Linked DNA regions of Oryctolagus cuniculus. The protein of the gene in region 1 interacts with the protein of each later gene in a pairwise test. Links are inferred from orthologs where the notes say so. Each region holds a gene or a part of one and is shown on either strand. Other genes may lie near its edges.

What was found.
Region 2: the proteins of VCP (region 1) and EPSTI1 interact in binary tests that used the Homo sapiens proteins (3 or more experiments, as listed by UniProt). The link is inferred for Oryctolagus cuniculus from reciprocal best matches to the Homo sapiens genes VCP and EPSTI1.
Region 3: the proteins of VCP (region 1) and UBXN8 interact in binary tests that used the Homo sapiens proteins (3 or more experiments, as listed by UniProt). The link is inferred for Oryctolagus cuniculus from reciprocal best matches to the Homo sapiens genes VCP and UBXN8.
Region 4: the proteins of VCP (region 1) and SLC43A3 interact in binary tests that used the Homo sapiens proteins (3 or more experiments, as listed by UniProt). The link is inferred for Oryctolagus cuniculus from reciprocal best matches to the Homo sapiens genes VCP and SLC43A3.
Region 5: the proteins of VCP (region 1) and UBXN4 interact in binary tests that used the Homo sapiens proteins (3 or more experiments, as listed by UniProt). The link is inferred for Oryctolagus cuniculus from reciprocal best matches to the Homo sapiens genes VCP and UBXN4.
Region 6: the proteins of VCP (region 1) and VAMP2 interact in binary tests that used the Homo sapiens proteins (3 or more experiments, as listed by UniProt). The link is inferred for Oryctolagus cuniculus from reciprocal best matches to the Homo sapiens genes VCP and VAMP2.
Region 7: the proteins of VCP (region 1) and LZIC interact in binary tests that used the Homo sapiens proteins (3 or more experiments, as listed by UniProt). The link is inferred for Oryctolagus cuniculus from reciprocal best matches to the Homo sapiens genes VCP and LZIC.

The regions. Positions count from the first base shown.
Region 1 is NC_091432.1:198,031,890-198,035,793, forward strand, and holds part of VCP (transitional endoplasmic reticulum ATPase), read right to left. Parts: intron 2,528-3,904; coding exon 2,416-2,527; intron 2,332-2,415; exon of another isoform or gene 2,230-2,331; coding exon 2,057-2,229; intron 751-2,056; coding exon 608-750; intron 98-607; coding exon 1-97. UniProt on the Homo sapiens protein: Necessary for the fragmentation of Golgi stacks during mitosis and for their reassembly after mitosis. Involved in the formation of the transitional endoplasmic reticulum (tER).
Region 2 is NC_091440.1:62,127,951-62,131,854, forward strand, and holds part of EPSTI1 (epithelial-stromal interaction protein 1), read right to left. Parts: intron 2,156-3,904; coding exon 2,097-2,155; intron 416-2,096; coding exon 332-415; intron 1-331. UniProt on the Homo sapiens protein: Plays a role in M1 macrophage polarization and is required for the proper regulation of gene expression during M1 versus M2 macrophage differentiation.
Region 3 is NC_091433.1:80,756,051-80,760,584, reverse strand, and holds the start of UBXN8 (UBX domain-containing protein 8), read right to left. Parts: upstream 2,852-4,534; 5' UTR 2,682-2,851; intron 1-2,681. Other genes in the region: GSR (glutathione reductase, mitochondrial), read left to right, coding at 3,017-3,307. UniProt on the Homo sapiens protein: Involved in endoplasmic reticulum-associated degradation (ERAD) for misfolded lumenal proteins, possibly by tethering VCP to the endoplasmic reticulum membrane. May play a role in reproduction.
Region 4 is NC_091432.1:14,692,535-14,697,081, reverse strand, and holds the start of SLC43A3 (equilibrative nucleobase transporter 1), read right to left. Parts: upstream 3,083-4,547; 5' UTR 2,915-3,082; intron 2,293-2,914; exon of another isoform or gene 2,258-2,292; 5' UTR 2,101-2,257; coding exon 1,926-2,100; intron 1,674-1,925; coding exon 1,544-1,673; intron 188-1,543; coding exon 141-187; intron 1-140. UniProt on the Homo sapiens protein: Sodium-independent purine-selective nucleobase transporter which mediates the equilibrative transport of extracellular purine nucleobases such as adenine, guanine and hypoxanthine.
Region 5 is NC_091434.1:107,844,804-107,849,428, forward strand, and holds the start of UBXN4 (UBX domain-containing protein 4), read right to left. Parts: upstream 2,889-4,625; 5' UTR 2,695-2,888; coding exon 2,613-2,694; intron 2,049-2,612; exon of another isoform or gene 1-2,048. UniProt on the Homo sapiens protein: Involved in endoplasmic reticulum-associated protein degradation (ERAD). Acts as a platform to recruit both UBQLN1 and VCP to the ER during ERAD.
Region 6 is NC_091448.1:52,651,845-52,656,342, reverse strand, and holds the start of VAMP2 (vesicle-associated membrane protein 2), read left to right. Parts: upstream 1-1,457; 5' UTR 1,458-1,615; coding exon 1,616-1,617; intron 1,618-2,147; coding exon 2,148-2,268; intron 2,269-2,738; coding exon 2,739-2,897; intron 2,898-2,977; coding exon 2,978-3,029; intron 3,030-3,580; coding exon 3,581-3,597; 3' UTR 3,598-4,498. UniProt on the Homo sapiens protein: Involved in the targeting and/or fusion of transport vesicles to their target membrane. Major SNARE protein of synaptic vesicles which mediates fusion of synaptic vesicles to release neurotransmitters.
Region 7 is NC_091438.1:158,243,317-158,247,056, reverse strand, and holds part of LZIC (protein LZIC), read right to left. Parts: intron 1,856-3,740; coding exon 1,720-1,855; intron 1,427-1,719; coding exon 1,328-1,426; intron 1-1,327.

The DNA.
Region 1 (3,904 bases):
ACTGTGTCTGGAGCAACAATGCAATAAGGGCTGGGATCTGTCTCCACTACTTTGAATTCCACAGCACGCATGCCACCCCGGACAAGGAAAATGTCTCCTAAAAGAACAAGTGTAAGCACAGTTAGAAGTGTTAACTAGAAGACTGAGAATTTCTCAAGAGATCCTGAGGTCTAAACTACCAAGTTCACTAGACATAGCCCTAGCTCCCTGCCCACCCTCCACTGTCTTAGTAAGCACACAGCAAGAGTTAAAAAGCTAATCCCTAAAAAGTCCCACTGTTACTTAAGAGCGCAATGAATAAAACCTGATGTGTCCTAAGCCCATAAAGTTTTAACTTCTGAGGTACAGACAGCTCAAGCTCTTACTACAACCACCAATTGTACAGCTATACATTTTGGACTGTGGACACAGCCAAAATGGACCACTTTCTCCCTCCAAGAAACATGAAAGGATAGCTTACTCTCCTGGAGTAGAGATAGAGGGAAAGAAAACATAGAAACATGTACAAGGATGCATGCATGACCAAAAATACAGAAACACTGCGGGGTTCATTTTCCAAGTATCCCTCTAATCATCCTTAAGCTCAATCCCCAGAATTATCACTTACCTTTCCGAATGGGTCGATAAGCTTCCAAGAAGTACGGTTTAAGATACACCTCAAAGAGATTGCCAGTGATGCCTTCCACTGTGTCGTCAATGGGCAGCACATGGATCCGTTTACCATACTTCACATCAGGGCATGGCTGGATGCTGAGGATGACAAGCAGACTCCACATTACCAACTGCACTGCAGCACCAGCACTGTGTGTCCACAAGGGCCTGGCACAGACAGCTGATGGCAATTCAAAGAGAAAAACAGAGATGGATTTAGGTGAAGAAAGAAAGGAAAGCAGGGTAGGAGTAAAGGCAAAGAAACAGCGAAGCAGAACTAAGACAAGTCACATTCAGGGTAGGACAGGAGGAGAAGCCACTAGGGCAGCCAAATCCTAGTCAAAGAGCCCAAATAAAGAACATTTAGAATGCTCACAAAGACGACATGTGGGGTCTACAAAGAAAGATATCCAAAGATAGTCCTTCTAACTAACACTGGTAACCCATTATTACAAAGGGAGATCTTGATCTGGTGTCAAAGTTCAGAGAAATAGAAGTGAAAAAATTAAAAACGTTCTCAGCCAGGAAATCAGAACACCTTGATAAAGTGCCTAAATACCCTCCCTCCACCCCCATCCCCAAGACTCCATGAAAAAGAATCAGATGCTTCAGATGATACTGGCCTGATGGTGGGTGGCTGGGGAGCAGTGGCAAGAGATGACTCCAAGATGGGAGAGCCTCTTGCCTACATTTATATAACAAGAAAAAAATCACTCACATTGGAGATACCTCTACCCTGCATTAGATCTGGATCCTTGAAAACCTGCTAGAAGGGGCTGGTATTATGGAGCAGCAAGTGCCAGTCTGAGTCCTATCTACTCTGCTTCAGATCCAGTTCCCTGCCAATGCACAGTGGATGATGGTGCAAGTACCTAGTCCCCACCACCCCTGTGAGAGACCCAGAGGGAGTTCCAGGCTCTTGGCTTCTGCCTGGCCCAGCCTAAACAGAAGATGCAAGAGATCTCTATTGTTGCCACGCTTTCAAATAAATCTTAAAAAAAAAAAAAAAAAAAAAAAAAAAAAAAAAAAAAGACCTGCTAGGCACCCACCTTCCATACCCAGATCTACACTCCCTTCCCAGTCCCTAATACAAGCCATTAATTCAACACAGTAGTGAGGAAGTTATTTGGCAGAGAGACACCCTCAAATGGCATCCAAAACCAGGGTCTAAGGTATGGTGGGTTACACTTCTGGTAGGAAAAAACAAACATATCAAAAAGTCATGCAGCAGCAGATTTTGAAGTCTCAGAAAGGCAGAACAGAAACCTAAAGACAACAACAAAATATGAGTCTTCCCAGCCAGGAGGCTTCCTCTAACTGCAGCTGCCGAAGATTTCATCCTGGCTATAATGCAAGCTATGTCTGGCCTCCCATCCCGGAGGGGCCAAGAATCCCCCACACACACCTGATGACATCCCCTAGGCGTACGCGAAGATTATTCCGAACCACTCTATTCATTCGAATCTTCTCATCAGAACATGTGTCATCAGAAAGCACAATGCACACAGCTTCCCGCCTCTTCTTTCCTTTCAGCAACACTGTGTCACCTCGGAACAACTGCAGTTCATCCATCTTGGGCTGAGGAAAGAAGGTTAAGGCCTTTGGGTCACTGGGCAGAAGGGGGTAAGCAGCAGCCCTGGAGGTTGGGATTCCCAGTAAACCCCACTCTATCTGCGGTCACTGCAAGAAAAATGAGAGAAGAAACCTGGGAAAATCCCTCAAGTAAGTACCATAAGGAAAGACAGGACTGTGGACCCAACTTACCTGGGATAAGGACACCACACTGTTGTCCTCATTAATGGCTTCATCAACAATTAACCGATTGGGACGGTTCTTCTGTTTGAGAATGGCTGTTGATAAGTCATCACCTTTTGAACTAGAAAGAGGAAGTGAAATCAGTGCTAACAGATACTCCAACCTGAAAGGCCCACCAGTCTAAAAATCATAATTAGGGAAAAAAGAATAGATAGATGAAGTCAACCCTGCAGCAGAGCTCAAAGGAAGGAAATTCAGCCAAGGTCACAAGGAGCAATATCTAGTATATATTACATTCCTCGTTCTAGCAGCTCCTAGTATTTTCAGTACTAATGTCCCAGCTGGAAGGCCCCAAGTAATCTTGCCCCAGGGTCAGGGAACTATGGCCTAAGAATAATTGAAGACATAACAGAAATAAAGGTTGCATAGCAATTTTACAAGAGTAGAGAGCCTTTTATCTGCCAAGAGCCTTTCAGATATTTATAACATCATTCGTAGGCCATACAAAATTATCAACTTAAAAATGAGCCTGCTATAGATTTATTGAATTTCAAATCCTGCCAGCAGTTGACTTAGCAGGGCCAAACCGAATGATTTCATAGGCCTTTTATGGCCCACAGGCTGGACATCCTCCATCTCTGCATTAGAGAAATGAAAATAGTCTTTGACTGTATAGAACAGTGGTTAAGAGCAGGGTTTTGGTACTCAGTCTGTTAGGTCTGAATTCCAACCATGCCATTGCTTAATTGTGATCTTGGCAGAACAAATTAGCTAAATTCTCTGGACTTTGATATTCTTACCTGTAAAATGGGGACTATAGTAGTACCTATCTCACAGGCTTATTGTTTTTAGCTAGACAACAAATATTGAAATGTGGGGCCAGCATTGTGGTACAGTAGGTTAAGCCACCATCTATGAAGCCAGCATCCCATATGACTGCCAATTCAAGTCCCAGCTGTTCTGCTTAGGATCCATCTCCCTGCTAATGCACCTGGGAAGGCAGTGGAAGATGGCCCAAGTGTTTGGGCCTTTACCACCCACACGGGAGACCCGGATGAAGTCCAGGCTTCTGGCTTTGGCCTGGCCTAGCCCTGACCATCGAGGCCATTTGGGGAGTAAATCACAGAATGGAAGATCTCTGTCTCCCTCCCTCTCTCTGTCACTCTGCCTTTCAAATACAATATCTGTCACAAACTATTTATTAATAGTCACCATGATTAGCAAAAGCACAAACTCTCTTTGCCTCCCAGGAAATAAAATGAGTCAACAACTTCCCTTAGGGTTCAAGGAGGTAAGCCTGGGGTCACAATGAGGCAGAAGCACTAGTGCTTCCTTCCTTAAAGGATAAACCTGTTGAATGCCAAGCACAAACCTCAGCATCATCAGAAAAACCACTAACAGATCTGGAACCTTCAGAAAAATGCTGAAGTTCAAAAGGAGATTCACAGTAATTTCTCTAAAGGCACACAACTCCAAAAAACCAAAACCAGAAAACATT
Region 2 (3,904 bases), on another chromosome or scaffold:
ATTTGCATTAAAGTGGCATGGTTACCATACTTGGGCTAGCTCTTCCTCTCCTCCTGACTAGTGCTATGACAGGGCACAGCAGTGCGCCAGGTAAGCATTCTTCAGGGTTGATCATCCAAGAAGATCTAAATTATTTGGCAATGAAGTCATCACTTCATTCCTGCATCACGGTGGCGTGCACACTTGAAGGTCTCAGCTTTAAGTGAATTTCACCCCACCAAACAACCTATAATATACATTCAAACAGAGACACACAGGGGCTAGCAGGATCCCTGGGGGCCTTGCCCTCCCCTCCCCCACACCCATTCAGGCACCGAGTTTGCTTGCTTACCTAGCCTCCTAGGCACCAGGTGCACCGGCTTAGCTCTATTCTGTTCTTTCCACTTCTCCAGGTTTGCCAGCTCTTGCTCAGCAACTAAGCAAAGTGAGAAAAATCAAAGCACCCATCGTTAGACGCTGAAAAGGAGACTGGCACCTTCATGCATAAAACCACCATCAGAGGGCGATGAACTCGAGCAAGCATGAGTGGATATGTTCTCCAGGGTAAGAAAACACCCTCCAGCCCTACCCCTTCCGGGCCACCCTGGGCCCACGCCTGGGGCACTTCCTCTACAAGAATTTTCACAACCAGCATTTCTACTAAAATGAGGGAGTATAGCTTTTCTTCCCATTCTTGCTTAGTTTTAAAGGGTTCCTATAGAAAATATGCTGACAATTAGAATATTAGAACATGCCAGTAAGAACTTTTCACACACAGGTAAACATTTCCCCCAGAGAATTCTGGTGCCCATATTGCTTTAAGTGTCCCCCCACGCTTACTGCAACTGTGGGGCACAAGGGTCTGTGTGTGGGTGGGCACCCTTGCTCAGGTTCCTGACACTGGGGACCATTAGGCAGAACCTATTCCCCAGGGAGTGTGACAGCAGGGGGCGCCAGAGAGACACCTGCCCTGTTTTCTGCCCAGGGCATGCCCTAATTTTCTCTTAAACCTGATTAATCCAAACGCTCGCTTATAATACGATTATTGAAAGGAAGGAAGGAAGGAAGGAAGGAAGGAAGGAAGGAAGGAAGGAAGGAAGGAAGGAAGGAAGGAAGGAAGGAATCCTGTTAAATATTTAAGTCAAAAGTTTGAAGATGCCAAAGCTTTTGGGTTTCTGCTGGTCTACCGCCAGCAGTACCCATAGATATATAGCAAATGTCTGTGAAGCTATGATTCTCATAAGCTGTACTACCCAACTGTACCACACAGGGGGCTACCTGCCTGGGAGAGGAGGGCTTTGGAGAGCTGCTTTCCTGCTGTGCCCTTATGTCCATCATTAATCGCAAAATTAAATCTCCCATCAACAATCTAATAAAGAGCATTGGAGTTCAGTCCTAGCACCACAGCTTGACTTGAACAAGCCTCAGATGTCCTTGTGAAGTAAATGAACTTCTCCTTCCAGTTCTGAAAGATGCTATGCTAAGTCCAAATGGTAGCATTTATATTTCCCATATTTCAATTAAACATACTATATAGACACTAAGTACAAAACCAAGTACGATGTGGTCCCTGTCCTCAAGGAGTTTATAACTAACAGAAGGAAACTGAACCACACAAATAAAAACAGCTGGAAACCATCAATAAATACAGAAAACAGCTGAGGTAGATTCTGATGGTTACAAAATATGGGCATGCAGAGAATAAAGAAAAATGGTATCGCAGAGGAATGGGACAAACCAAGAAAGGTACAAATCATGTCATGATCAATTTGGCATCTCACTTGTCTGTTTCAAAAGTACTCATAAAGCATCAGCAGTCTGTCTAACTTTACAGGGATGAGCTCAGTATATAGGTAACTTGTGAAGCTGCGTAAGCCCAAGAGAAATCCAAAAAAGTACTGAGTTCTGTTACTCTTGTAGCGAAACAGATTCACAAGTGTTAACAGCAGAATCATTCTGACAGGCACAATTAAAACTGCCAAAGTTAAAAAGAAAAAAACTTTGATGAGATCAGGTGCACCTGTACAAATGAGAAGATAAAAAGACTTCAGACCAAAACCAACCGACTGGAAAGAAAGTGAGAGGTACTTGAATGGTAAATGAATAAGCATACATACTCCTTTGTATCTGGTTTCTCCGGTGTTCATTTGGTGCTATCAAGGTATATGCTCCTGTGCTAGAATGAAGAGGGAAAAAAAATCGCTTATTATCATAAGAAAAACCAGCACACATAAGGCAGCAGACAGGGTACTGTAGAAGATGGTATTCTTAAGGCCCAGATCTGCTCTCCAGGACCTTACAATCTAATTGTCAAAGCAAGACAAATGGATGTGGCCAAACACAGAAATACAGGGGTACTTCAATATGTTCTGAGAAAATGTAATTAAGATAAGTTTATCTTGGTGCCAAAAAAATTTTGAAATCCATGCTCTCCTTTTCATTACATGCATTTTTCAAGGACACTTTGAAAACCTCTCATACTCAGTTTTCAAATTCTGAGACACAAAACCTATTTTTAAGTCCATTTTCCATGAACTTTTAGAAGTATGCTCTTAGAAAGTAGTGATGTGACAAGTGACTGCTTCACCACTGGGTCTTGGTAGAATGGCCTTGTAGGACTTCTTTGTTCTTGTAGGTGGTACTTGTGGCTAAGTTCCCTTTAAAACTGGCATGCTCTTCCCTGTGAGCCACATGGGGCAGACAAAAAAACACTGGTGCATTCCCTGTTCCCACACACTGAGAGCACAGGCCGTCTCCTCTTGAAGATGTACCTAAGTATTCAAATGGACACAGTCTTGTGCTATTAGTATTCGACTTTTCTGGGCATAGGCCTACCAGGTTCTTCTCTCTGCTGGGCACACATAGGAGCATAATCAGGAGACAAAGAAGCAAGGAAGGTCTTCATAGAGGAAGACTTCATTTAACCAAAAGTATTAAAGACTGAGACATTGGGAAGCTGTTAAAATAGTATGAGCTTTGGAGAGCAGGCACCATGATCAACTGACGCGTAGTCCAAATGATGCCACGAGTCCAGTCGTTGAGTCTGTGCTGGGGTGGCCCTTCTCGGTACAGTGTGTGAGGTCCCACAAGAATACGAATGCTCCATAATTCAAAATTATAGCGCAGCAACAGACGGCAGCACACCATGTGGGTACAGTTTTACGGGGAATGCTATGGAGAAACACAACCAGCTTATAACTAGATTTTTTAACACAAATGCCAGATACTCTTAGAAGTCCCTTTCTTCAACCTGGACTATACAATCTCAAAGAGCAAATTAGCACGGATTGAACAGTAGAGGCCAAAAGTACTGATTAGCAGAAGCCATTTCTTCTTTATCTCCTTATTTTCCTCTCTGAGAGCCTCCAGCCAGCTTCAAAGTGGGCTTTAATTTTAGACCTGTAAATGTGAGGTGTGCAACCACCTTTGCATGCAAATAGGACTGCTGGATGCCCAATTACCTGACGTATTTCAGCAGATGTTGCACATGTAGCCTAGCATGCATACAACGCTATGAATACAAAATTAGGAGACTGCCACTAGAAATTAATCCCTTGTTCGTTGCGTATATCTTTGTTCGCACTATGAAAGATTTTTCACTCCTCAATTGCCAGTGCTTTATAGGAGCTTGGGAGCTGTAATTCCGTGGGTAGTACCTGGAAACTTGAATATGATGCAATGGTGAGCCATTCTACAGAGCCTTAAACCTGAAACTGAAGACATGGAATTTAAATGCCACCCACGAAGTTACTGAACAATCTTCAGAGCCTACTAAGACTGTGATATACAGCTTCTCCCCATTCTAGGGACTTCACCATTCTGCAGATCCGTAGCTCCCAACCTTTATCATCAGAACCCCTGGAGGAGTTGTTGGTAGGCTTGTTCAGAGGCAGAATTTCTGATTCAGCAGCTCTAGGAGAAGACT
Region 3 (4,534 bases), on another chromosome or scaffold:
TTGCAAGAGGCAAAGCAGTTCACTTGGGCAGCTTACCTCACCGTATGCAGCCTCTCGGAACAACAGGGAGATCGGGGCCCCTTCCAGCCACCCGGGGAAATCCCACACCGAAACATTTGACAACCTAAATATTACTGTAAAAACCATCAGCTTTAAACCCAGCCACCATGCTTCTGAGCCCCTCTGGAGAACCCACATGTGACTGCTTATGGGTTGTTGAACGCTATATTCCCGCAGGTTGAACCTGACCAATGTCTCCTTGGAGACTCCAGTTCTGAGATATTCTTTGTGGATGGAAACAGTAGGAAAAGAAAAGGCTGAATATGTAGTAGCAACCTTCCAGGAAACTTTGAAAGGAAAAGCATTGCCACCAGGGACCTTGGCCCAAAAGGCTAAAGTCATAACCCTCATCATTGCTTTGTACCTTAGAAGAGGTAGGAGAGTGAGCATTCATACTAAGTATGCTTTTTCTGTATTATGTGCCTAGAGGGTTATTTAGAAGCAAAGAGGATTGTTCTTGTTAAATAATAAAGTTTATGTACTGAGGAAGGCAGTCCTCCAAACCACATGACTGCAACTTCAAACATCCTCACGGTCACCCAAGGGAGGATGTGTGCCCTCTTCACACAGGATGTTTTAATCACTCTGGGAACATCTGTCTAGCTCTCCAAGATATGCCCACCCACATCAGTGCTGTCTGACTCCACACTGAGCCTTAACCAATAGCTCTACACTTGGTTTGAGAATCAAAGTCCCTGGAGACAAACTACTGATCTTTCTGGTTTGCATTCTGGGTGTAGGAATATTAATACGTTGTTGCTTGAAATGATGAAAGACCTGCAAATCATGCAGACACTACCTCAGCCAAACCTCATCACGATGCAGACTCTCCTGAGTTGAACCTAATTTGAAAAGGGTTTTCCCAACTTCCTCTCTTCCAGAGAGGATGAGAGAGAGAGAGAGAGAGAGAGAGAGGGAGAGAGATTGATTTTCCATCTGCTTGTTCACTCCTCAAATAGCTGTAACCACCAGGGCTAGGCCAGGCTGAAAGCCAGGAACAGGCACTTATCCAGGTCTCCCATGTGGGTAGCAAACAAGAGCCCAAGCACTGGGCCATCTGCTGCTGCCTTCCCAGGTGCATCAGCAGGGAGCTGGATTGGAAGCAGAGCATCTGGGACTTGGTGCCTACACGGGATGCCAGCATGGCAGGAACCAGCTCAACCCACTGCGCCACAGTGCCAGGCCCCTCTCCTCCAGTCTTGAAACCTCCTACCATGCTCCATTTCAGCAAGAAGCAGCTAGAATGATCCATATACACCTCAAGATTGAGGAGAGAAAAGGAAAAGAGGGGACTGAAGTGGAGCTTCTTATCCGTAATGCCCCTGATGCTCACTTTATCAGGCCCTAGGTTTCATTCTTCTAAAGATAAACCCATTAAACTACAAAGTGGCAAAAGGGTAAGAGACCCTCCAGTTAACATCTCAATGGTAGTCTCAATTCTGAGAGCTTTTGCAAGAACACCTAGGCCCTGATCAATGAAACCAGTACCCAGTCTACCCCTAGCCCCACACAGGTTGGAGCCCACCTTTGTTATTTCAAAGGCAGCTTGCTGGTCTCTATCACTGACCAAAAGATGGCCACACACACTGGGGACCAACAGAAGGCCCACAGATGAACTGACCACACACCACTCACCCCTAACCTTGAACTCTGAGATTCACCACCTGTACTCCCCTGGGGAGTCTGGGATTTGCACATCATCTGCCTATGTCCTTGCCCTGCACTTGGCAACGAACACTGGGTGTCAGTGGGTCTTGCCAGAAGATCCAGTTTTGAAGTTCTATAGCAACTCCTCCCACCAGTTTCCAGGATGTTCAATAGCAGGGAGCCACGGGCTTCCATTCCCTGCGTTGGGCCTAGCTGTTCTCTGACCTCGACCTTCATTTCTTTGCCTCTAGGCATCTAAGCCTCACCCCTCCAGGTGCTTAGTCATGGTGAGCCTGGTGCTTGGTCATGATGAGGCTGTGCCAGCCTGGGCTAGACACTCATGTCCTTGTGGGCAATGGGCAAGGGATTGAGGCCTGTCAAGACACAAATTCAAGGCACCTAGGCTTTTTTTTGTGTGTAATTGGTAGTTCTAGATATTGCAAAGCTCACATCTTGGGGGATAACAATTCTTTAAAAATTCATTTATTTATTTGAAAGGCAGAGCGACAAGCAGAGAGAAAGATCTTCCAGCTGCTGATTCACTCCCCAAATCCTGGCCAAGGGCAGGGGCTGGGCCAGGCCAGCCTGGAACCAGGAATTCTATCCGGGTGTCCCCCGTGGGCGGCACACGTACCAGCACTTGGGCTATTTTCCCCTGCCTTCCCAGGTGCGTTAGCAGGCTGCAGCTGGGCTTCCAGCCTGGCAATCCGATATGAGAGGCCCCTGTCCCGCGACTGTAACCGGCCCAGGACAACACGTTTGTGTCTCCACCTTTACTCTCTATACTTCTTTGGTGGACCACAAAAATCGTGCTTTTGATTCAACCCATTATGTCAATGCTTCTCACGCTACATGCTTTTATTAGAATCAGCAGAAGGCGGGAAAGTGTCCTTTAAAACGACACTTCCTGGGGGCGCGCCTCCCCCCCCCCCCCCCCCGGTTGGGGCCCAGGAATCAGCACCGCAGGCGCTCACCACACAGCCGTGCAGAAGCACCAACCCCGAAAATAACAGGGTGGGACGAACTTCTCTTCCCAGAGGCCACCACGCGCCTTCGGGGACCTCCGGGTGCCGGCGGCGTCCAGGTGCCCGGGGCGGAGAAAGCACGGGGCCCTGCAGCCGGGGCAGGTGCAGCCGGCCGAGCTGGCGGCAGGCGGACCGGGCAGCGCCCCGCCTCCCGGGGAGCCCCAGCCCCCAGCGCGCGCTCCCCCGCCCCCGCCGCGGGTGCTTAGTCACGGTGAGGCTGCGCCGGCCCGGGGTCCGCGGCCCCCGCCGCCGGGGACCCGCCCCCGGCCGCCACTTCCGCGTGCATGGCCCTGCTGCCCCGGGCCGTGAGCGCGCGCGCGGGACCCGGCCGGCTGTGTGTGGCGCGCGCCGCCTCCCTCCTCCCGCCGCCTTTAAGCGGCCCCGCCGGGGCCCTGCGCGCCCTCAGCCGCGCCATGGCGTGCGCACGGGAGCAGCGCCCGCCGCCGGCCGGCGTGACCGCATACGACTACCTGGTGATCGGGGGCGGCTCGGGCGGGCTGGCGAGCGCCCGGAGGGCGGCCGAGCTCGGCGCCAGGGCCGCCGTGGTGGAGAGCCACAAGCTGGGCGGCACTTGCGTAAGTACCAGGTCCTTCCAGGCTCGCGTCCCGCAGCCCTGCAGGCGCCCGGCCTCTCCGGGGACGGCTGGGGACTTCCCCACCGCGATCCTGCCCAGCTGGGTGGGCGGCCCCCGCGCCGTGCCCTCCGCCTTCCCAGCCGGCCCCTGAGGTCCGAAGGACCCCGAGCAGATGGGACAAGTGTGGGGGGGGGGTGGGGGCCTCTGTGCGGCCCGGCGCAGGTGCGACGTGCACGAAAGCCCTAGCTCGCTAAATGCCCAGCAGCATCCTCGTGGCTCCAGGTAGGAGGAAAGCATTGCATTCCATGCTTGACCTTGTGTAGGTGTATTTGGGAAAGCTGTGTAGGGGCGAGAGTGGCGGTGAGGGATGTGGAGCCTGGTCTCTCCTTCCAGAAGTGCACGAAGACTGATGGCCGTGGCTCGCAACCTGGGCTGCGCGTTCAGAACCACCCCAGGGGATAAGCTCTGCTGCGTGGGTTCAGCCCCCAGGGCGTCTGACTTACCTTGGTCTATGGTGTAGCCTGGGCTCGGGTTCAGAAGCTCCTGCAATCCTGTGAATTGCAGCCCTGCAGGGCTCACCATTGAGTGATTTCTCAGGCCTGTTGTTTCGCTTGCCTTTGGTGTTTTTTTTTTTTTAAATTTTTTTTAATTTAATTTAATTCTTTGAAAGGAAGAGTTAGAGAAAGAGAGGTGAAAGGAGGGAGAGAGAGAGGGAGCTTCAGTTGGTTCACTCCCCAAATGGCTGCAAGGAAGCCAGGAGCCTGGAACTCCATCCAGGGCTGCCACGTGGGGGGGCAGGGACTTGGCACTTGGGCCGTTTTCTTGGAAGCCCAGCAGCCGCCACGGTGTTGGTGGGACACAGCTGGCACTCACATGGGATGCTGGCACAACAGGTGGCTGCTTAACCTATGTGCCAGAACACTGGCCCAAAATAAGGTGTGTAAGTCTTGAGGCTGAAAAACTATAATCTTTTTTTTTTATTTAAGATTTATTTACTTATTTGAAAGTCAGAGTTACACAGAGAGAGAAGGAGAGGCAGAGAGAGAGAGGTCTCCCATCCGCTGGTTCACTCCCCAATTGGCTGCAACCGTCAGAGCTGCGCCAATCTGAAGCCAGGAGCCAGGAGTTTCTTCCGGGTCTCCCATGCGGATGCAGGGGCCCAAGGACTTGGGCCATCTTCTACTGCTTTCCCAGGCCACAGCAAAGAGCTGGATAGGAAGTGGGGCAG
Region 4 (4,547 bases), about 180 Mb from region 1:
CTCAATATCCCTTCAAGATTCTTTAAGCTGTGGACCTCAGAGTAACCATGAGGTCCATATGTCCTGCCTGCTACCTCCTGCACCTGCTTCACTAGACATCTCTAGAACCATGTCCCTCTCACACACTTGGCAACACTCACCTGTAGAGGTGAAGGCTATGGTGAGGGTGGCACTTGTGTAGAAAAATCTGAAATACAGAATAGGGCATGGAGAATATTGTCAAGAAAAGAGAAACCTGGGGCTGGTGTTGTGATGTAACAGGTAAAGCCGCCACCTGCAGTGCTAGCATCCCCATATGGGCACTGGGGCTCCACTTCCAATCCAGCTCCCTGTTAATGCACCTGGGTGTTCATGCACCTGGGAAAGCAGCAGAGGACGGCTCAAGTGCTTGGGCCCCTGCACTCACAGGGGAGACCCAGGAGAGAAGCTCCTGGCATTGGTCTGGCCCATCCCTACCCATTGAGGCCATTTGGAGAGTGAACCAGCAGATGGAAGCTCTCTCTCTCTGTTTCTCTATCTGCCTCTGTAATTCTGCCTTTCAAATAAAATAAAAGAAATCTAAGAGAAAGAAAAGGAAGGGAGGGAGGGAGGGAGGGATGGAGGGAGGGAGGGAGGGAATGGCTGGACTGATCTAGACTCCAAGCTTAAAGTTCTAGAGCGCTACAGTTTCAAGACCACCATCCCGAGGTTACAGGAATCCCTTGGCAGCTGACGGGGGAGTAGGAGGATCTTCTAAGGCAGAGGGTAAGAGAGGCAGGACCCTGAGAACCCTGCTGGAGAAAGGCAGGAAGAAGAGCATCCAGGGAGCCAAAGACCAGAAGGACCGAGACAGTCAGTCAGTTTGCACCTAAAGGGACTTGCTCTACTCCCCAGCTATTTCCTGGTCCAGGTCCAGCTGCGCCCCCCCGCCCCGCCCCCAGCTTCCCTCTGCCAGTTGATCTCACACCCGCCTCCCTGGGATCTATCAGCCCCCAGCAGGCCACTGCTTATCACCAAACCCCACCACAGAGACCAGGATGCAGGAGCACACGAGTTCTTGGCCTCCCCCACTCCTTTGCATGGGAAGCCCTATTCTCACCCCCTGTAGCACAAGGGGGGCCTGAAACTCCACCACTGGAGGTACCCACAACATTCTGTGATGACTGAGTGATGAGGGTGACTAGGAGGAGGAGAAGCCTCGGGTGTGAGGCTTCATAGGGAGATGAGGAAAGGATCCAGGGAGAAGGCAGAGAGCAGTTGCTAATTTCGCAACTCAGGCCTTTGGGCAGCCCTCATGGAAAGTCAGCCCGGGCTCCTGTGCAATTAGATACAGAAGACAGCTGCAGTGCTGTGGAGTAGGGGAAGGAGGCGAGGAGAGGGAAGCAGGGCTGTGGGAACGGGGCGGCCCCACGCCCTGCCAGCTCTGCTCCTCACAGCTGTGTCTGCCAGCTGCTGGCTCGGGGCCAAGCAGGGCTGCCCAGCTGCCTAACCTTGGTCTCCCTCCCAGCCTGACCAATGCCTCTTGCCCACACCACTAGACGCGCGGGGCCCCGGGGGGACTCACATGGCTAGGAGGCGGGCCACAGTGGTCTTGAATCGGTCAAAGATGTAGCCGGTGGGGAACGTCATGAAGTTGTTCATGAACGACGCCAGGGTGAAGATGAGCGAGAACCTCTCATCCTGGGCTTTGCAATCTAGAAGGGGGAAGGGGAGGCTCAGAAGCCCAGGGCAGACTGGCCACACTGCCCCATCCTCCCAGCCCTCCAGCCCGGTGACACCTGCCCTAGGATCCCCTCCATCCGACTTGGACAGCTTGCCTGGAGATGTGACTGTCCCTAAATCCTCTCCCGGGCACCCCCCTAGACCAGGGTGCAGGAAGGGGTGGCAGGAGGCACAGGGGTGGAGCCAGAACTCAGCTTCCGGGGAGAAGGCATCACCCTCCTTACCAGTGGTGTTGCCCAGTGTTCCAGACGGCGGCTCACACAGCTCCTCAAAGTAGTGCTCTGTTTTGAAGACGAACACCAGGGAAGTCCAGCCGAAGAGCACGCCGGCAAAGCCCAGGCACTCCAGTAGCCCTGTCAGCAGGGTGGCCACGTGAAGGGGCAGGGCCTGGCCCACCATGGCCCCAGGCACTGAGCCTCAAAGCCCACGTTGTCCTCCCTGGCTGACCACAGCAGCTTCAAGTCCTGGCGTCTGAGCCCTTGGAAAATTCCTTTGGCGAGCCTTTCCTTTCCTGGAGTTCTCTGGTTCTGTCTGCGGCTTGGGCACAAAACAGAGCCTGTGAAATAAACAGAGGCTGCCTGAAACAGGAGGCTGCCGGAGGGAAAGTTCAGGTGGAAAACTGTTCTCTGTGGCAGGAAGGAGCAAGATGCCCACCCGTGTTAGGAGGGCAGCACCCTCAGGACAAAGATGACCTTAATGACTTATGCAGAGTTCTGCCAGCAACAGGTGAGGGAGCAGGCCCGGCGCTGAGCTCCGATTCTGAGCTCTGTCCACTGAAATACCATCGGCCCCTCTGAGTGAGGCCAGGGGACTAGGGGGCTGTGTCTGCGCCCACCCAAATTCTCATAACAGCCGGGCAAAATTGGAGTTTCCTTATCTGCAGTTGGTTGACAATGAGACCAAAGTTCCAGGGAATATCAGGAAACTTGTCCAAGGTCACACGCTAGTTACTCACCACCACGCAGGCTGTGCTAGCGCCAGAAACAGCCCAGCACCCAAGGACCCGGGCCTAGGACTCCATCCACCAACTCCCCCCCCCCCCCCAAGAAAGTGCCCAAGGCCATTCCCGCCCCGCGCAGCGCTCCGCTACCCGCGGCCGCCCCCCGCCGCGCGCTGCCTGCCCTCCGGGCCCGGGTCTGCCCAGTCTCAGCGCCCCCACGCCCACTCCTCGCAGGGCGCCGCTGCCCGCCGACCGGCCCTGCCGCGCTCCTACCAGCCCGCTCCACGCCGCAGCTCTCCGCGCTCTTCCCGCGCGCGTCGTAGTTCAGATTCGCGCTTCTCACCGCCCCGCCCGGTGCCCTGCTCGCCTCCGCCCGCGCCCGCCTGCCCGGAAGGGGCTGGGACAGGCCTCTGGTTCTCCACCACTTCCTTCCCCTTCGCCCGCGCTCTCACTAGCCCTTTTGGACGTATTCTTCTCCCTCTGCAACCCTCTTCCGTCCCTGCAGTGTCTCTGCTTCCCGGCTCCCCGGCCGCTCCCGCCCTGAGCCGAGTTAGTTTAAGGCTTGTTCCAGACACAGGTGCGCCGGCCCCGCAGAGGTAAGGCACACACCGCGTTCTGCGAGCTTTACCTGAACATGGATCTCCCCATGTTGCCCACCTACTCAACCCTCTCTCTGTCTCTCCCAGAGCCGCCGGAAAATCCCGCGGAGGAACCAAGAACCCAGAACCGAAAGGCTTTTTGGAAACCATTCCCTGCAGGGGGCCTTGCCTTCTCACCCCCAAGGCCCCCTTTGATGACTCTGCCTCACCCCCAGCCCAGATTCTGCAAGAGCCTTCCTGCCAGACTGCATTGATTAACTATTCATTCATGGCCCCATTTTTTATTAATCAAAGACATATATAATTGCCCATCCGAGCTTGTGATCAGCGTGAGATAGCTGGCCTAAGCAGCTGCCTGGCTGGTACCGGAGCCCACAGCAAGTGAGCCGGGGTCTTCCTTAGCCTGTATGGCCATTTCCTTATCAAAAACTCCCGGGGGGGGGGGGCGATTTGAGCCTGTTAGATGAGGTCCAGGAACTCAAGCTATTCCAAGCCCATCTCCCCACCACCACCACCACCACCACCACCACCACCCATTTTAAGGAAGAGATGAAGGTCAGGACTGTGGGAGGCCAGAACCAGGAAATGTTTCCAGATCACTGTGAAAACACCAAGATAAAGAAAGTCCAAGGCCACAACAGAGACTGGACTGCAAAGGGCAGCTGTGGCCCTGCACCCCCAGAGACTTGCAAATTACACAGCCTGAGGCAGGCTCCTGGCTGTTCCACCTGCCAAATGAGGGCAGGAGTGTCTTAGGAACAGGAATTGCCACTACAGAAACGTGATAGGTTTACGAGGTCCCTGCTAGGAGCGGTTGCAGCAGGCAGGTGCTGAAGGTTTGCAGCTTGTCGTTATGCAAATCAAGTTAGAGAAGTAGCTTTGGGAGGGGATCTCAAAGGAACTGGCCCAGGGTCACTCTACCAGGTGGCAGTGTCTATCCAATTCCCAAACCTGCGCCCTCAACATTCCCAGGCTTAACCACAGACACTTGAGCACGGGGGGTGGCGGGTCTTCTTAAAAAATTAGCTGATGGGGGAGGGGTGGGGAAATCTATCTGCTGTAGCTTAGGATGCACAGGACTTCAGATGCAGGCTTTTCTATTTTACTGCAAGATACAAAGACACTGAAATTAATGCAAGCCCTGGCTCCTGCTCTGGAGTGCATGCTGCTCTCCTGGGGACCCGCAGGATCAGTGAGTGTGGAAGAAGCAGGGGAAGAACAGAAAAACTCAAAGCAAAGAGAGATCGTAGAATGTAAATTGGCAGGGGCAGTCCGAGAGGCCCAGCGCACAGGCTCTGCCTGCATCC
Region 5 (4,625 bases), on another chromosome or scaffold:
GATCTCTGATTCTCCCTTACTCTGTCACTCTGCCTTTGAAATAAATAAATCTTAAAAATAAATAAAACAACTTTTGCCTAAAATGCTTCACATTTGAATAGTTCAACAGTAAGTCTAGCCTTCAGGCCACTTTTTCCAGCTATAATATATCTTTTTAATTTACCAGTGAGTTGGTAAATTATTATTGAGGTCTCATATCTAAGAAATTCATCTTGGGAACCAGCATTGTGGCACAGTGGGTAAAGCCACTGCCTGCAATGCCAGCATCTGCACTGTGGATGCCAACTCCTTACTAACAGCCTGGGAAAAGCAGAAGATGGCCCAAGTGCTTAGCTACCCACATGGGAGTCCCAGAAGAAGGTCCTGCCTTTGGCCTGGCCTGGACTAGGGCTGTCATAGCCATCTGGGGAGAGATGGAAGATCTCTCTCCCACTGACTTTTCAAATGAATAAATCTAAAAAAAAAAAAAAAAAAAAGGTGATGTTCTGGCTATATTCTTCAAAGTTATGGGCAAAGCAGGGAAAGATGGCCCAAATAGCTGGGTACCTGCATTCACATGAGACCCAGATGAAACTTCTGGCTTCAGACCAGCCCAGCCCTGGCCACTGTGGCCATCTGAAGAGTGAACCAGTGGATGGAAGATATCTCTGTCTTTCCCTAGCTCTAACTCTTCCTTTCAAGTAAATAAATAAATCTTTTAAAAAAGGAAGGAAGGAAAGTAATGAACAAAGCTTCAGGCAATCTGTAAGCGTTAGTTTCATGAGCCCAGCGTACACATTCCTAGAACGACACTAATCCTACTTAGTGCTGGGGATTAACTAGCTTAAACTCTAAAAGCTGTTTTCGGGAACAGGTCTAGGGACAGATTTCTTTGTTAGATAGCTAGTAGTCTTCAGCAAATATTTCATAGTCATGGGGCCAGCACTGTGGCATAGTAGGTTAGGTAAAGCCACCATCAGCAGTGCCCACATCCTATATGGGTGCCGGTTCAAGTCCTGGCTACTCCACTTCTGATCCAGCTCTCTGCTATGGCCTGAGAAAGCAGTAGAAGATAGCCCAAGTGCTTGGGCCCCTGCCCCCTCACGGGAGGCCAGAAAGAAGCTCCTGGCTCCTGGCTTCAGCCTGGCCCAGCCCAGGCAGTTGTGGCCATTTGGGGAGTGAACCAGGAGATAGCAGATCTCTAACTCTGCCTTTCAAGTAAATAAATAAAATCTTTAAAAAAAATTACCAAAATCCTAGATTTCCTGATCAACTTAATTAATACATAAACAGACTATTTAAGTGTTTAGTTTTTTTCCTGAAAAACAGAAAGACACTTTTTCTGAAGCTGTTAAAAAATGTAATGTAAATAAAATTTAAGATGTAAATTCTTTTCGGTGCAAATCATTTTATGACTGTGGTCCTAAGTTCCTCATCTGTAAATTGGGAATAATAAAATCTGCTCTACCTATCACGAAGATCAATTGGGATTTTACATGAACAATACAATTTAAAGGATCAGCAACTCATTACTACATTTTTAAAAATCATGTCATTTAACTTCATTTTTAATCCACTTCTTTTCCCCTCAGAGGACAAACTACTCAAGCTTTTCTAAGAAACAACATGCAGCCAAAAATTTAATAAAATATTAATGTAAAATATTTCAGCAACTTGGTTTTCATTGCAGTGTATCAAGTTATAGAACTATTCAAAGTCGTGAAATGAATTCTAAGCCACTATCAAACACAAATAATTGAAGAAATACATTTTACATTAACAGCCGTCAAGGAAAGCCATAGAGGAAGCTTTCTTAGATCTGTATAAATTTCAAAAATAAAACAGCAAAACGTGGGGCAAAATAATCGAGAGCAGCTTAGGGTAAATGAGTTCGTAAATGTTCTCAAAACTATGTGGACTCTGGCTAGGAAAACCGAAAGAAGAACCAAAGACTTTATGTCTACTACTTTTAGACCGACAGGGGGACGAAAAAAATTCCACTTGGAGCAGAGTATCCACATTAGGCAGCCTCTCTCAATACTGCCGTTAAAAAAAAAAAAAAAAAAAAAAAAAGCCCCTGTAAAGTTTACATGTCAGAAGCACACCAACGCCCGCAACCGTGACCATCAGGTGGTTTCTCTTTGTTGCTCAACCGATGACACAGCTTTCTCCCTGACAGCCCACAGCCAATTAGCAGTCCAACTGCTCGCCTAATGGCCCGTCCCTCCCCCACCCACGGAGGAGGAATCAACGGGCGTTCAGGCATCCGAGGAAGGTGCTCGGGCCCGGGGAGGGGCGCCAGGGTCCGCCCGCCGCACGCAGGAGGGCGCCCGAGCCCGGCCGGGGCCTCTGGCCTGGCTGCCAGGCCTGCCGCCTCCCAGACAGGGCCGCCCGTGCCCTTCCGGACAAGAAGGCAAGGCTGCGGGCGCCTGCGGCCTGCAGGAGCCTGGCCTTGGGCGTCTGCACGCCCGCTGCGGGGCACCCAGCGGGGAGAAGTTGCAGCCGACCCTGGGGCGCGGAGCCGAGAAGTGCCCGCGTCTCGAGGACGGAAGACCGGCGGCTGAACTAACGAGTGGGTGAAGGCAGGCCGGAGAGCCTGTCCCGGCCGCACCTCGGGCCCCCGCCCCCTTCACCTGCCACGAACACCACGAAGACCGCGCCGCTCCTCTTAGCCGACGCGATGGCGGCCGGAATGGCGCCCTGGAACCACAACATCGCTCCTGTCGGGCCCTGGCGCTCGGTCGGGGTGTAGTCGCCGCGGTCCCGGAGGAGCTGGCCCCGCCCAACCGCTTCGTCGGGCCCTGCGGCCCCGCAGCCCCCGCAGCCCCGGCTGGTCCGGCCCCCGCCTCCGGCTCGGGCTCCGCACTAGCGCGCACGCCCGTCAGCCGCCCACTGCGACGTGCGCAAGCGCGCGCGTGGGGACCGCCCCGTACCACGTGACGCCACACGTCGCCGCCGGCTCAGGGCCCCAATACCTTGTTTCGTGGGCGAGTCAGTGCGTGCGCGCTCCCGCTAGAACCTCAGGTCTCGCAGACCAGGAAGTGGAAGGAGGCAGAGGAAGGATGAGTAACCGCTACGGCTTGTTTGGAGGCGCCTGCCGAGAGGCATGACGGGAATTGTAGTCTTCTTGGGCTTGTGGGCCTCCATATTGTGGAAAAATGTGACTACTGAGACACGACTGAAGGGGGCAGTACTGAGAGCCACTACGCGTTGAAGGACGGAGGGAGGAAAGGCAGTGCCGCTCTGTTATCCTCACTGAAACCCTGAAAGTGGAGGAATGTGTCCGCGCATGGAATTAAATAGGCCTTGTAGGAATTTATTGCCAGGCTTCGGTTTTTATTGAATTGAGCCCAGTCCTGTAGAAAAGACAGGATAAAAACCACCACGGTCTCTCTGCAATACCATACAGCCTGAAGGGAGACACTGGTACAATAAAGACCCTGAATTTCCTAGACATCGGGTAAAGATCATTCCAAAACCTTGAAACTGTGGCGCCCAGCAGGATGTCGGTATCCAGGCGGTCGCCCACCATGACGGTGCGCTCCGGGTTGCTGCCGTCCTCCTGGGGCACGCAGTGGAAGGTGAAGCGGCTGGGCTTCCCTATGACGTCGGCCTGGCGCTGCGCGGTACCTGCCGGACAAAGACGGAGTGGACGGGCGCGCAGTGTGTTAACGCCCTGGCCTGAAGCGCCGGCATCCCATATGGAACCGGTTCGAGACCTGGCTGCTCCACTTCCGATCCCGCTCTCTGTTGTGGCCTGGGAAAGCAGTAGAAGATGGCCCAAGTCCTTGGGCCCCTGCACCTGGGTGGGAGACCTGGAAGAAGTTCCTGGCTCCTGGCTTTGGATCGGCACAGCTCTGGCCATTGCGGCCATCTGGGGAGTGAACAAACAGGTGGAAAACCTCTCTCTCTCCTTCTCCTGCTCTCTCTGTGTAACTCTGATTTTCAAATAAATAAATAAATCTTAAGAAAAAAAAAAGGCTAACTATGGCTACACCAAAGGAAACACAAAATCAGAGAATAATGACTTATTTTCCAGCCACTTTCCATGGTAGTACAAAAGAAAATTATCTCACTTCCCGTTTTATGGGATAATATCAGCCTGTAATCAACGTAAGGTACTTGTGGTTCGTTGCCATTCAAATAAAAATGATTGACATTTAATACTTTAATGGAATTGCATGGTTCCTAGTAACTATTAGTTAAGGGTTTGTATAATTTATTTAGTTGTTAAACTTCTTATTTGTTGAAGCATTAAGTCTTTTTACTGTTATATAAATAACATAATAATAATATATTTAAAAAGATATTATCTCAAAAACTTAAAAACAAGAAAGAGAGGGACAGCTGGAGGGAGAGTGAGGAGGGAGGGAGGAAGGGAATATCATTCTAAGAATTGTGTCTATAACTATGCTGAAACTAAACATTTTTAAATAATATTTTTTAAAAAAGTATCCTAAGAATCATGTGGAACTTTTTATTCCTTCATCAAGTATTTATGTACAATGAGCTAGGCACTCTTCTTGGAAGTGCTATGGTAAGGCATACCAGGCCCTCCCTGCCTTTGTGACTGCACAGTTGAAGGCAGACATTGAACCAGTGATGATGAATGCCCCCAGAAGGGAAATTCAGAGTGTTGTTGAAGC
Region 6 (4,498 bases), on another chromosome or scaffold:
CCACAGCCGTGCACAAGGACCAGGGATGTGGCTGCTCCTCCGAGGGCCACCAGAGAGCCAAGAGCAGCTTAGGTTGGGCTGAGTTCCGCCCCTCCCCCACCAACTCACCTCCCCCAGACAGCTGGGAAATGACACCTCTGGTGACAGAGCCGGTCCCCAGGCTTCTGCCGGGAGGGGGTGGGGTGCGGCAGTGGAGGAGGATCTCACACCGCAGGCCCTGGGAAGCCGGCGTGGGGGAGGGAAGAAGCTGGCTCCTGTTTGTCTCACAGATCAAGGCCACCAGTCTCCGTCCCCCACTTCCAGGAATGTTTGAGCGCCCCCACCCCACAGCCATCGCCCCCCCCCCCCAAATGCTTCCTCTATCCTGGAAGCTTGCCTTGATCCTGCCCACTCCAGAGGCACAGCTCACCCGTGCCCATTTTCTCCTGCAAGCTGGCTGGGACTACGTGCAGGATTTAGGTGGAGACCAGTGATCGATGGCCTAGGAGGGGGACCATCTCCTACAAGCTATCCCACTGCTGCCGTACATATTTAGTCCTAGATGTGTAATGTGTCGGAGATCCAGAGAGAGAAAAGGAGCTGCCCGGGGGACACATCCAGGAGGCTAGCCCACGTGTAAAGCAGCACCACATAGCAGTGCCACCCTTGCCTGCTGTCCTCCTTCCTCCCAAGGTAAAAAGCCCCCGGCCTGCGGCCAGGTTCAAAGCCAAAGCCCTCGCCTGTCCCGCAGCAGCTGACTCCAGTCTGGGGCACAGCTGGGTCTGTGGCCGGCCTAGACGTGACGATGTCCCCCCCCGGGGGGGTGAGTGCGGGGGGCAGCATGCGCCCTCCCCCTGGGTCTGCTCCAGCTTTGCCTGCCCCTGCTCTGAACTTGGCAGTTTCATAGCCTGCAGCCCCTCGGGGATTTGGTTGGAGGCGGGGCCTGGGGAGGGGAAGGGTCCTCCTCCTCCTCCTCCTGCTCCGCAGGGGCCCCAAACCTCCCTTCAGCCATCCACCTGCCAGGTGACAGGTGGTCTCAGCGCGCATCACCCCGCTCCTCCACTCTGGCAGGAGCGTTCCCGCTCTCCGCTGGGCCCTTCTGATTTCCCCACGCCCAGCCCATTGCGAGTGCCGAAGCTGGGGGGTCACCAGGCATTGCAACCTGGCCAGGGCGAGACCTCGGGCCACGGGGCTGCGGACTGGTTTATCGGAGTCACGGGAGAGGGAGGAGGTGGCCTAGGGTGAGGTGCGGGGCTCCGCGGCGGAAGGCCGGGTAGCAGGGGGCTGCGAGCCTCCAGGACGCGGCGGCGCGGGGGTTTGGGGAAAGCCGCAGCAGTCAGCCAGGGGTGGCGCGGAGGGCGCGCGAGGTGCGGGGAGGGCGCGCGAGGCGCGCCGCGGCGGCCCCGCCCGGCTCGACCCCCGCCCCGCCGGGCCCCGCCCCGCCCCCGCGGCCGCGCTCGCGACGTGTCGCCTGCGAGCCCCGCCCCCGCCCGCAGTGCCCGGGTGCGGGTGACGTGCGGCCGCCATCTTCCCGTCCCGGGCAGCCAGCGCCAGTCGGAGCCAGCGCGAGCCGCCGCCGCTGCCGCCGCCGCCGCCATCACTGCCGCTGCCAAGTCCTCCACCCGCTGCCCCCGCCATGTGAGTCGGCCGGCCGCCCGCCGTCCGTACCGCGCTTCCCCGCCTCGGCCGCCGCCCTGGGAGTGGACCGCGCGGGGAGGGCCCGGGGTCCCGCCCGCGCCCCCGGTGCTCTCGGGGCCAGCCTGGCGCCCGTGACTGCGCGGCGGGCCGGGGAGAGCCCCCGCGGCCCCCGGGCTGGCCGGCGCGGGCGATGGCCGCGCGGGAGGGTGCGGACCCAGCGTCTGCCTTGCCCCGCCCCGGCCCTGTCACCGCGGACGCCTGTCATCCGGTGTCGACCCCAGACCGCGTCCGTGAGGTCGCTCTCATTTGGCAGGCGGGGAAACTGAGGCCCGGAGGGGGGAGGGGGCCTCGCTCAAGGTCACTCAGCTCAGCGGCGATGGGGCTGGACGGAGACCAGGGCTCCCATCGGGCGGCCTTCCTCCCGAAAAGGAGGACTGGAGGGACGACGGATGGACAGGTGGATGGGCGGAGCCCTGGCCGCGGGGCCGGAGTCTCTGGACCCTGGGCCTTAATCTGCGCCTGCTCCTCAGGTCTGCTACCGCTGCCACCGCCCCCCCTGCCGCCCCGGCCGGGGAGGGCGGCCCCCCTGCGCCCCCTCCCAATCTCACCAGTAACAGGAGACTGCAGCAGACCCAGGCCCAGGTGGATGAGGTGAGTGTGAGCCGGGTGGGAGGCCGCAGGCCAGAGCCTGCAGGTGGGCACGCAGGTGTGGGGCCCATCGCGGGTTGGGGGTGATGACAGTTCACAGCTGTGGGTGTGGGGACAAAGACATGCCGAGCCTCCTCCCTGCCTTCGCGTCAGCACACATTTGGAAGGGCGCTGGGGTGTCAAGCAGCCTTGCTAGCCTGCGGTGTGCCAGCCTGGGCAGGTTTGCCCTGGTGACTGACAGGCTCTCTGAGGGTCGCTCTGACATCTGAATGTGTGGCTGCCAGCATGCCCCTGATGTGTGCTCCTTGCATGTCCCCAGGTATGCTAGGCATGTTCTCTGTGTGTCCTTGGCATGTTAACTTGGCGGTATCTGGGTGCATGTTCTGTGTATGGCACCCTGGGCACACGGTCAAGGAGTGCCCTCGTTTCGGCGGGCCTTGGCACACCCCCTGCCTCCTGGGCCCCTCCCCCAGGTGGTGGACATCATGAGGGTGAATGTGGACAAAGTCCTGGAGCGGGACCAGAAGCTGTCTGAGCTGGACGACCGCGCCGATGCACTCCAGGCGGGGGCCTCCCAGTTTGAAACTAGTGCAGCCAAGCTCAAGCGCAAATACTGGTGGAAAAACCTCAAGGTGAGGGCGGGGGCGGGAGAACTGGGGGGTGAATGGAAGGATGGGGGCTTGTCTCACTGACCCTCCCCTCCCGCCCCCAGATGATGATCATCTTGGGAGTGATTTGCGCCATCATCCTCATCATCATCATCGGTGAGTGGGGCGGGAGTGGCCGGGGCCCCTTCTCTGGAGAGGCTCCCCCCGGTGGGTGCAGTCTGGGATGTGAAGGTCACTAACCTAGTCTTCACTCTGGCAAACGCCACATAGCTGCTTAGGGAGCTGTGGGTCCTAGAGCCAGAAAGCCTGTGCAGCCTGCCGGGTGCCTGACTGTTGGCAACGGGAAAGCCGGTGGATCTCCCACTACTTCACTGAGCATCCTTTGGGCTTGAGAGCCCAGTTTGGGAACTGGAACTGGGGAGTGGGAGGCGGAAATGGAGACATGGCCAGGAAGCCAGTCCTGCCGCTGTCTGAGAGCTGGTGAATTGGGTGGGGGTGTGGCTCCAAAGCCATCCCGTGGAGGCACCCATCTGGCCAGCCCCTTGCTTCACAGATGGAGAGACTGAGGCCTCGAGCTGGGGGAAGGGGCAGCAGCCAGCCAGCTAGGGGGTGGGGAGGACCGCAGCAGGGCCGGGCCTGACACCCAGCTCTCTCTCTCTCCCTCCCTCCCCCCTCCCTCTTCCTCTTCCTCTTCCCTCTCTCCACAGTTTACTTCAGCACTTAAATCCCCGAGGAGTCTGCCCTGCCTAGAGAAGGGCCTCTCCCCCACCCCCAGCCGTTCCTCCACCTCTCAGCCATATCTCTCAGCCCCTCCCCGGATCCGTGTGTGTGTGTGTGTGTCTGTGTGTGTGCCCCCTGTAAATAGCCAGCTGTTATTTATACATATATAATATTATATATATTTGGTCTGTTTGTAGTTTTATTACTAGAAGATTTTTCCGGTTGTCCTTAACACCCCTTCCTGAGGTGTCCCCGTCCTCGCCTCTCTCTGTCCCTGTCCCCCCCTTTCCCTCCTGACCAGTCCCAAGTCCCCTCATTTGCATCTGCTATGCAACAGCCCCTCTCCTTCCCCCATCCAGCTGATCCTTCCTTGCCTTCCCCCTCCTCCCCCTCTGCACTCCTCCCACAACAGACAAAAGCACCTGGCCAGGCCTCCCTACATGCACCTTCTTTGCATCCATTGGGAGGCCCTGAGACTGGCCCCACTTGGTCCTGAGAATCCCAAGATCTTCTGGGAGCTTCCAGCGTGTTAATTAGCAGATCATTTGCACACCAACATCCCTTTGGTTTCCTTGTTTTTTGTTCCATCACTCTTCTTTGAACCAATTTCTTTCTTACTGGAAAGTTAGTCCCCAGTAGTCCTTGTGTCACTCTTATTTGCACGACATTACTTACAGGCGGTGGAGAGCCTGGGCTTTTTGGGGAACTGCCCACTCCCAGGCCCTCTAGTCGTTTGCCGCCCCTACCCCCATTTCCCAAACCTCTTGTGCCCTTCCCTCCCTCCCCTCAGCTGGCGTGGAAGTGTCTTGGAGTTCAATGTGTTATGATGGACCAATAATTCTGCCACTTGGGGTCTCTCCCTACATTCCTGTCCCCAGTTTTCATGTGGGGCACTCAACTGACAT
Region 7 (3,740 bases), on another chromosome or scaffold:
TAGTAAATTATTCCTGCCACCAAAAAACACTAATAGCATATTCTATACATTGGTACTATTCTAAGTGTTTTTGTACATTACTTCATTTGATTCTTATAATCATTTCTGGACAGGAAAACTGCGGTACAAGAGGTTCAATAAAATAACTTGCCTGGGGTCACATATTTTAGCAAATGGAACAGGGACTGAAATCCAGTCAGCCTGACCCAAATCTATACCCTGCATTTATACAAAATTTTATTTATTTATTTTCATTTTATCTGAAAGGCAGACAGAGATAGAACTTCTATCCTCTGGTTAACTCCCCAGATGTCCACGACAGACAGAGCTGGGGCAGGCCAGGCCAAAGCCAGGAGCCCAGAACTCAATCCAGGTCCCCCACGTGGGTGGCAGAGACCCAAGTAATTCAGTCACCACCTGCTGATCCCCGGGATGTGCATTAGCAGGAAGCTGGAACTGGAAGCAGGACTTGAATCCGGCACTCCAACATGGGAGGCAGGCATCACAAACCGTGACTCAAACACTGGCCAAACACCTATCCCTTATGTCCTTAAAGACTATGCTACTGAAATACATGTAGGTACAACTAATTTAAAAAAAAAAAGATTTATTTATTTATTTATTTAAAATTCAGAGATACATAAAAGGACACACACAGAGAGAGATATATCTTCCATTTGCTGGTTGACTCCCCAGATGGCCACAATGGCCAGGGCTGTGCCAGGCAGAAGCCAGGAGCCAGGAGCTTTGTCCAGGTCTCCCACATGGGTGACAGGAGCTCAAGCACTTGGGCCATCTTCTGCAGCCTTCTCAGGCACTTAGCAGGGAGCTGGATCGGAAGCAGAGCAGCCAGGACCAAACCAGCACCCATACTGGATGCCAGTATTGCACTTGTTACACTACAACAGCATCCCCTATTTGTTAATCCTTAACTACAGTCAAGTCTATGAAGACATCTGGGGAAGTATCAGGTTTATAAAAATGCTTGAAATTCTCAGATGAGACAGGCCACACATGCGCAGCAACAATGGTGCTGATGAACTCTCAAAGGGACTTCAAGTTAGAGCTGCAGCAGCAGATGGCAAAGCATCAAAGAAACGGTCTAAGGAGAAGTGGTGAGTGGCCACTGAAACTGCCAGCGACTGTTTACCTCTGCATTCATTATCAACTGTAATTGCTCAAAGTGCTCATTTTGTCAGAAAATTGTGGGTTGTGGCTTTAAAAATCAAGAGGCCAATTTTTAAACTGTAAACTATCATAATCAGCAAATTATTAGGCTAGGAAAAAAAGCACACACAGAAGCCAGGACAATTTGAAGAAACGTTACCTCTGCTAACCGCGTCCGAAGCTGGCCTGGCTGTTTCTTTGCAAACAATCTGATGACCTCTGGGGTCTTGAAGGCCTGGCTGATGGCGGCCTGAATAGCCTGAACACAGAAGAAGGCAGAGACTAAGGAAAGCATCCAACAAGCGGACGCGCAGGAACTCTCAGATGGTCTTTAATGCTCAGTCTGCCCATTTTCATTCGCAAACATTTCTGTGCATGTTACAGGAGCCAACACACAACTCCATGAAGATCTGGAAGGATATGCTGTTTTATACATAAGCAGACACTCATCTAGACGTGACAGCCCAAAAGGACACATTTTCTGTATGAAATACACTTACAAAAGAAAACAAGAATTGAACTTTGCCACTGATCTAAGAAAATCATACTTACCAGCTGCATCCCACTTAGTTCATCTACCAAAGTCATATTTCCAGACATAATTTTCTTCAGCGAGTCATTGAATTCACTTAGTTGTTCCAGAGTTTCCTTCTTGGTTTCTTCATATTCATCAGTGTCAAGTTCCTCCCTAAAGTATAGTAAACATTGTAACAGAAAGATACACAGTTCCAAGTGAAAAAAGCAGATCTTAGCACTGATACACTAGACAAAGGCTGGACAGAAAGGTCACAATGCTAATGACAGATGTGTTCACAAAGTAGCGTGGGCATATTCCTGCCATGTGCAATTACATATATTTCTTTTCCTACAATGAAAGCACACTTAACAAAACACTTACTGACTTCCCTTGTGCAGCCTGTGACTTTAGACAAGATACTGAACATAGCAATGCCTTAGTTTCTTTATCTATAAGGGTTTGGAGAGTGATGCCATCAACGAACAGTTGCTATGCACATTAAAGGAGATGGAAACTGCTTGGCAAACAGGTATGTGATAGATGGCTGTCGTTACAATCATCATCACATCAATGGTAGGAAAGATTCTGTGTTCCTTGCAATATAACAGCAATGCAGTACTTGCCAGATTAGAAGCCATTTTTATTCCCTGAACAAATTTATAAAACTTACTACAATCTACCATTTATTGAATGCCTACCCTAGGTCAAGCATTGTGTGGCCCCTTCATTTATAGACTTATAAGATTGCAACAATCTTGCAAGCTTTTTAAAAACTACAAAAAAATAGATGGGCAATTGGTGCAGCAATGCAGATGCTGTCTGGGAGGCCTGCACCCCATATATGAGCACTTGGGTTTGAGTCCCAGCTCTGATTTTGATCTCAGCTTCCGGCCAATACACACCTGGAAGGTAATGGGATGGCTCAAGTACCTGGCCTACCGCCCACCAGGAAGACCTGGATTGAGTTCTGAGCTCCTAGCTTCAGCCTGCTTAGCCCAGGCTTATACAGGTATTTGGAGAGTGAACCAGCAGGCAGATTATCTCTATCTTTCTACCTTTCAAATGAACAAAAATAGGTAAACCAAAACACTGCAATGAGCAGTCTTAGTCTGTTGAGCAGGAAAGGCTAACACCACACACTAGAAGTTCAAGCAGCAGCTTCTCAGCCTCACACCAGGCGAGGATATTTTACTTTATTTATTGAGATTTATTTATTTGAAAGCCAGAGTTACAGAGAGAGGGAGAGACTCACACATAGAGATCGATCTTCCATCTGTTGGTTCACTCCCCAAATGGCCACAACAGCTAGGGCTGGGTCAGGCCAAAGGCAGGAGATTCATCTAGGTCTCCCATGTGGTTGAAGGGGCACAAGTACTTGGGCCAACTTCTGCTGCTTTCCCAGGTGCATTAGCAGGGAGCTGGATTGGAAGTAGAACAGTTGGGACTCGAATTGGTTCCCATATGGGATGCCGGAGTCCTAGGCAGTGGCTTAACCTTAATGTGCCACAATACCGGCTCCAGGGATGTTTTAAATACTGCAATAAAGACACAGTAGGGGCCGGCGCCGTGGCTCACTAGGCTAATCCTCCACCTTGCGGCACCAGCACCCCAGGTTCTAGTCCCGGTCCGGGTGCCGGCTTCTGTCCCGGTTGCCCCTCTTCCAGGCCAGCTCTCTGCTGTGGCCAGGGAGTGCAGTGGAGGATGGCCCAAGTCCTTGGGCCCTGCAGCCGCATGGGATACCAGGAGAAGCACCTGGCTCCTGGCTTCGGATCAGCATGGTGCGCCGGCCGCAGCACGCAGGTTGCGGCAGCCATTGGAGGGTGAACCAACGGCAAAAGGAAGACCTTTCTCTCTGTCTCTCTCTCACTGTTTACTCTGCCTGTCTAAAAGACACAGTAGGTGTTGTTATTTCCACTTGATGGTTGTTAAATATTTTGCCCAAGTTCACATGCACTTATTCAGTAATCAAAAGACTTTCACATCCCAGTCATTATGACTCTGAGGCCTGCACTGAGGTTACCTCTCCAACAGACAAAGCACTGTGAAGAGCCCTGCA